2 linked regions of the Callithrix jacchus genome follow. The protein of the gene in region 1 interacts with the protein of each later gene in a pairwise test. Links are inferred from orthologs where the notes say so. Each region holds a gene or a part of one and is shown on either strand. Other genes may lie near its edges.

The links.
Region 2: the proteins of UBE2K (region 1) and RNF167 interact in binary tests that used the Homo sapiens proteins (3 or more experiments, as listed by UniProt). The link is inferred for Callithrix jacchus from reciprocal best matches to the Homo sapiens genes UBE2K and RNF167.

Annotation. Positions count from the first base shown.
Region 1 is NC_133504.1:154,051,843-154,055,496, forward strand, and holds part of UBE2K (ubiquitin-conjugating enzyme E2 K), read right to left. Parts: intron 2,575-3,654; coding exon 2,475-2,574; intron 1-2,474. UniProt on the Homo sapiens protein: Accepts ubiquitin from the E1 complex and catalyzes its covalent attachment to other proteins. In vitro, in the presence or in the absence of BRCA1-BARD1 E3 ubiquitin-protein ligase complex, catalyzes the synthesis of 'Lys-48'-linked polyubiquitin chains.
Region 2 is NC_133506.1:106,512,162-106,515,407, reverse strand, and holds the end of RNF167 (E3 ubiquitin-protein ligase RNF167), read right to left. Parts: intron 3,208-3,246; coding exon 3,120-3,207; intron 2,932-3,119; coding exon 2,841-2,931; intron 2,608-2,840; coding exon 2,502-2,607; intron 2,368-2,501; coding exon 2,274-2,367; intron 1,248-2,273; coding exon 1,167-1,247; intron 1,091-1,166; coding exon 783-1,090; 3' UTR 576-782; downstream 1-575.

The DNA of each region.
Region 1 (3,654 bases):
ACTTCCCATATGCTTTGGAAGAGGTAAATGTATCAAATACTTTGGAAACACCGTTACTTAGTAAAGCAAAGTATAAATTACTATTCAATTCACTTTACTATTTCTTTTAAAAGCACTTTATATATTTAAATATAGTACATATTAAAATGATAAATCTTGTTTATATCACTGCTTCATAAGGAAATAAGTTAAATTACTGAACTACTTTAGGGGCTAAGAAACTCTCAGTCCAACCTCAACCTCTAAGGCTTAGAGCACAACAGGAAAGCAAAGCTGGAACTCAAGCCATGATTTTAACAACCAAATATGAATAAATAGCACATAAATAAAACATGGAAAACCCTAAGTGGAAGGACTCTGAGGCAAATAACAGAACATGTTTACAAGGATATATACATAAAGCAAGGAGTAAACAGATCTTGAAGGGAAAAGAAGGTAATATATAAATTAAAACCTTACAGGTTAAAGAAGTATGCCAAGAGGAAGTTTCCTCAGGCAGAGGAAATATGGAAGAGATTGGATACAGTATGTAAAAATAAATGCAATGCTTGAAAAAGCCTGAGTTTGAAGAAAACAATTCAGGAAATAAAGCTAGGTCTGCAGAGAGTTCAGATCTGCAAGCTAAAGAATTTGGACTTGAGTAGGTGATAGAGCTACAAACAAGTTTTTGTTAACGAAGTAAAGTAGGATTTGCACTTTATAAAGCTACCTGATAGCAATGTAGAAGACAGAGAAAGGAAGAAAGAGGTTGAGAAAGAGAGATCTATCAGAGCAGTCGAAATGAAACAATTTTTTAAAAGTGACCTATGGGCCAGGCGCGGTGGCTCAAGCCTGTAATCCCAGCACTTTGGGAGGCCGAGGCGGGTGGATCATGAGGTCAAGAGATCGAGACCATCCTGGTCAACATGGTGAAACCCTGTCTCTACTAAAAATTAGCTGGGTGTGGTGGCGCGTGCCTGTAATCCCAGCTACTCATGAGGCTGTGGAAGGAGAATTGCCTGAACCCAGGAGGTGGAAGTTGCCGTGAGCCGAGATCATGCCATTGCATTCCAGCCCGGGTAACAAGAGCGAAACTCCGTCTCATATTAAAAAAAAAAAAAAAAAAAAAAAAAAGTGACCTACGGCAATCAGAGTAATTACGTAAATAGAGTAACAGAGCGATATAGGGAATGGTTATCAGGATAAAAGGAGACACAGAGAAAAACTCCAAAGGCTGTGACTTGGTGGTTAACTATATGAATGTTCCTTGGATGTCTCAGTGTAACACCATCGTTTTATGAACCTATCATTCTATGATACCATCACCAATTTAGTTAAACACCAGGCTTTCATGCTTAGCAGAAAGGGCAAGCCTAAACATTTTATCAATGTACAGGTGGTAACATCAGTATGGATATGATCATCCAAGTGTTAGTGTGTACAGAAAATAAAGGTAACAAGGTCAGAACTGAGGAACTACATTTAAAAAAGAAGAAGAAAAATAATTGTGGGAACGAACAAAGAACAGCTATAAAGTTAGGAAGAAAAGAGGGTAATATCTTAGAAGTAAAGAGAAGAAAAACTTTCTAAGTTAAATAAATTAAAAAAAAAAAAAGAATGCTCATTATATTCCAATGGCTTAGAATAGGTATCAACAAACTTTTTTTTTTTTTTTGAGACAGGGTTTCATTCTGTCATACTGGCTGGAGTGCAATGGCACGATCTCAGCTTGCTGCAACCTCTGCCTCCCAGGTTCAAGTGATTCTCCCACCTCAGCCTCCCAGGTAGCTGGAACTACAGGTGTGTGTCACCACACTGGGCTAATTTTTGCGTTTTCAGTAGAGACAGGGTTTCACCACACTGGCCAGGCTGGTCTACAACTCCTGACCTCAAGTGATCTGCCTACCTCAGCTTCCCAGAGTGCTGGGATTACAGGTATGAGCCACCGCACCTGGCTGGCAAACTGTTTCTTAAAGGGTCAGATACTAATAACTTCAGTCCAGTCTCTGTTGTAACTATTAAACTCAGCCACTGTAGCTGGAAAGCGAAATGAAAAATATTTATTCCATTCAACAATTACAAGGTCATCGGCAACTCTGCCATGCCACATCAGTGCCATGATAGGTGATTAAAATTATTAGCAGTGAGGGATCATCAATGAATGGAAGGATAAATAGAAGGATACATACATGAGCATTAATCATAGAATCTAGATGGTAGGAATATGAGTGTTCACTGTGTAATTATTTTGACTTTATGCGTTTAAAAATATTCATGTCAGGAAAACAGCATCTATATATTCAATTAAACTAGGATATTAACATTCTATTAATTCAGTTTTCACTATTACATCTGACAAAATAATCCTACCACAAGGAAGAAAACCATTTCAAAATTTAGTTTCAAGAGAGTATGCTCATGTGTTAACGTTGCAAAACCACTAAAATGGTTAGGGACTCATACGTAACAAAGTCTTTCAAAAGCAGCCATCTTACCTGATTTGCTACTACGGCATCCTGTGGATCATCTGGTTCTGCAGCTGCCAATAGTGCTTGCAATGACAATAGTACCGTGCGGAGAGTCATTGCAGCTGCCCTAAAACCCAAAATATAAAAATATCCCAATTAAGAAAGCTCTGCAGGCAAAAGCATTTTCTTAATAAAAAAATCAGTAGAGCTAAAAGTTACTTAGATCTTTATCGTAATTATATAGTCAAATCACAGAAATCTGTAATTATGTATCTGCCAATCATATATTTTCTTCCTTAACAATCTGCTATTTCCTTTTTTTTTTAAAAGACAGGGTCTTTGTTGCTTAGGCTGGAGTGGAGTGACACCATCTTGTCTCACTGCAACCTCCACCTCCAGAGCTCATGCAATTCTCCTGCCTTAGCCTCCTGAGTAGCTGGACTGGAAGCACACACTGCCACACCCAGCTAATTTTTTTTTTTTTTTTGGGGTAAAGACAGGATTTTGCTATGTTGCCTAGGCTGGTGTCAAACTTCTCAGGTGATCCGCCCACCTTGGCCTCCCAAAGTTCAGGAATTACAGGTGTGAGCCACTATACTCAGCCGGCTTTTCTAAGACAACTCAAATAATCTCATCCTGAACTGTCTTATTTTTGTTTTCTCTTATTGTTGCCAATATCCTTCTTGTTAATTTTATCCACTAATTTTCTATCCATTTCTCTAAACATAAAGTGATAAAAAATTAGTGCTAATAGCCTGTGAGATTTTCTTTCAATGGCACTCTAAAAACAAATACTATGAAGCAAATATATTTTCAAGAAAACAAGAAATTATTTCACAACATTCTGAAATAGGCAGTTTTTTCTGCTTAAACTACATCACTTAATTTATGCTTCTAAATGTATTTATAAAGAAAATATCTTTATAAAGCTAATATTTATCTAAAAAATATTATCTACCTATCTAGCAAGAATTCTTGGCATTTCTGTTAAAAAGCTGTTTCACTGGCTGGGTGCAGTGCCTCATGTCTATGTAATCCCAGCACTTTGGGAGGCCGAGGCGAGCACATCATCTGAGGTCAGGAGTTCAAGAGCAGTCTGGCCAACATGGTGAAACCCCATCTCTACTAAAAATACAAAAATTAGCTGGTTGTGGTGGCATCCGCCTGTAATCCCAGCTACTTAGGAGGTTGAAGCAGGAGAATCGCT
Region 2 (3,246 bases), on another chromosome or scaffold:
GCCAAAACCACATGGGCTGGGGGCTAGGGCTGGATGGACAGACACCTCCCCCTACCCATACCCCTCCTGTGTGTGGTTGGAAAACATTTTTGTTTTTTGGGTTTTTTTTTTTTTTTTTTTTTTCTGAATAAAAAAGATTCTACTAATAAGGTGCTGTGTGATTTGAGCTTGGGTGTCAGAATGGGATAGGCACTGTGACTTGTTTCCTTTAAAAGCGGCTTGGGAGCAGGAAGGTTGAAGCACTACAAGGTGCAGGGATTTAAGCTTCTGGCCAGGTGGCCCTGCCCCTCCACAGTGGCATTTCTAAGCCTAAGTCCTCAGTATGCTCGTCAAATTGGTGGGTAATGGAATAGGGCCATCTGGATCAGAAAATGGGTCCAGGCCTGCAGGCAAGGCAGGGCCAGTTGAGTCATCCTTGTGGGTGGGGCTCCCCTTCTGAGTCATAGCAAATGCCTGTGGGGCTGTCCCCATGACGATAGGTTAGTGTCTCCCAGCATTCCCTTGCTCTTTACGGCTAAAGGGGTGATTACCCCAAAGGGTTAAGTTCACCGGTGTGAGAATGATCTCACCCTTCCTTAGTCCACAAAAACAATTTTATTAGCCCAAGAAGTGAAGACCCAGTCCCTTTGCTTGTCCCAGCCCACCCCAAGGCTCCTGAAAAGGATAGGTCTGGGTAAGGGAGAAGCTTGGGATGGAAATGTCCCCTATCCCTCAACTTAGAAAACTGGAGGGAAGAAAATGTGCAAATAGGTTACCAGTGTGTGTGGTGGGGAGGACAGTTACTAGACCAGGATAATAGGAGAAGAGGAGGGAGGAGAGGGTGGGGGATCTGTTGAAGGCCCAGGAAAAACAAGGGGAGCTGGGGCTAGGGAACCAAAGGAAGTGGGAAGAGAGGGGCTGGAACCCAAAAGTGGGGTCCTTTCTGAGGCAGGGTGGTCCCTTGGCTCCCCTTCGTCATCACCCTCCTCTTGCCCCTGAGTTTCTTCCTCTTGCTCTTCATCCCCAGGACCCCGATGAACAGGCTGCTTGCAGATGGGGCAGGTCTTCCGGGTCTGAGTGAGCCAGGGGTCCACGCAGCGGCTGTGGTAGGCTGCAGAGAGGAACAAGGTGAAATGCCTAGAGGCTGCCAGTGGCATAGGGGCATGTGCAGACAGTGAAGGCCTCACCATGAGCACAAGGGAGTATCCGCAGCTTGTCCCCATCCTCATATTCGTCCAGGCATATGGCACACACATCATACTGGTCTCCTGGGACAGAAAGAAAGAAATCTAGTCCTTCACTGAGCCATCATGAACCAGGTCCCTTAATTCATTAGGGCTTTTAAAGCCTTGCAAAAATTTTCCCTTGCCTACAAAGCCAGTGGGAAAGCTGACAGGTGGGCAGGATAAGGTCAGGGCAGAACATGGAAGGATTTGGGGCTAGAAGGGACAAAGACAAGCAGAGGTAAGAAGGGAAGTGGGTTTCTGGGGAGGTATGAGGGTGGAGAGGGAGTGGAAAGAACGGAAATGGGCAGGGCTTCTGCCATAGCCTTATATGGGCACTGGAGGCCCCAGGGCCTAAAGCCCCAGCCCCTTGGTACCTGTTTTTTCCTTCTCTAACAGAATCCTCCCCATTTCTCCCATTTTTCTGCTCTACATCCCTTATCAGCAAAGTCTGTCCCTCTGTTGTTTCCCCAATTATTTCACTTAATCATCTTTGCTTGCCATCTCTATTCCATCTCCTCTCTCGTCTTCATTGTGAGTAAAAGGAGAAGAAAAGATGGCATCATAAGCTGAAACCTTCTCACTGCCATCTTTCTTTTTATTATTATTTTGAGACAGGGACTCCCTCTGTCACCCAGGCTGGAGCACAGTAGGGCAATCTCAGCTCCCTGCAACCTCTGCCTTCCTGGTTCAAATGATTCTCCTGTCTCAGCCTCTCAAGTAGCTGGGACTACAAGAGTACACCACACCCAGCCAATTTTTGTGTTTTTTATAGTCATGGGTATTGCCATGTTGCACAGGCTGGCCTGGAACTCCTGGGGTCAAGGGATCCACCCACCTCAACCTCCTAAAGTGCTGGGATTTTTTTGTTTCATCATGTTGCCCAGGGTGGTCTCAAACTCCCAGGCTCAAGTGATCTGCCCATCTCGGCCTCCCAAAGTGAGCATTTAGGATTATGTGAGCCACTGTGCCCAGCCACTGCTATCTCTGTACACCCTATCTTCTGGGCTCAAAGTCCTTCAGAACCAGGTAAACAGTGGGAAAAGCTCTTTTCTCCCCTAAACCCCTCACCCTTCTGATAGTCGTGTGTAGGAATCTGTTTCAGTTGCTCTTTGGTAAGTCGATTCCTCTGGAGCCGTTTCCGGTGCTGGATACAACGAACTATCTGGGGGAAGGGGGAGTGGATGGACAAGGCTTAGGAACAAAACTAGACAATCCAGGACAAACCATTCCCAACTCCAGATCCAGTCTGGCCACATAGGCCTCAGTACTTCCCATTGTGTTCCCTCAGTTACTCACCATTACTGCTCCCATGGCCAAAACCAGCAGTCCCACAATCCCTGTGAAAGGGATGAGATAATAGCCCAAGGGGAAGGTATTGTCTGGAACCAGAAGCACACGAGCCCTGGGGAAAGGATGACCAGTCTTAGCAGGGCGAGAAAGGCAAAGGGAGGAAAAAAAAAGGGACGAAGTAAGTGGCTCTGTACAAAGCCCGTGGATAGGGAAGGGAATGGGAAGAAAGAGGCAGGGAAGGAAGGACAGGAGGCTGAATGGTTGAGGCAGTGAGGAGGCCTCGGCTCCAGGTTGGCATGGAACTTGCTTGTTGAAGGAAGAATGGGAAGGAGGCACATGTCCTACCCCTTTTCGTAGACAAAGAGGGCACGCAGGTACTCGGAGCTTCTCTCCCCAATAAATACAGATGGGATCCAGATCTGCTGCTGGATTTCCTCTGCAGGGATCAAGGTATTACTCTGGGGACACGAGCTTCTATTCAAATCCTTTGGGAACCCTGGCATTTGGCACTTTGGCCCCGCCCCATCTAAAGTATTGCCCTCTTTTCCTGAAACCTTCAGCCTTCCCACCATCTCTGTCTGTGTCCTACTGAAAGCCCAGCTGTCTAGATTGCCTCAGCCTTACCACTATTCCACACCATGTTCAGGAGTTCATTGGAATTCACATTGTGTACTACAGCGGCACCATATCCAGCCTTCTGGGCATTTAGGACCTAGGGAGACAAGGCAGAGGACAAGGAGCCATCATGGGC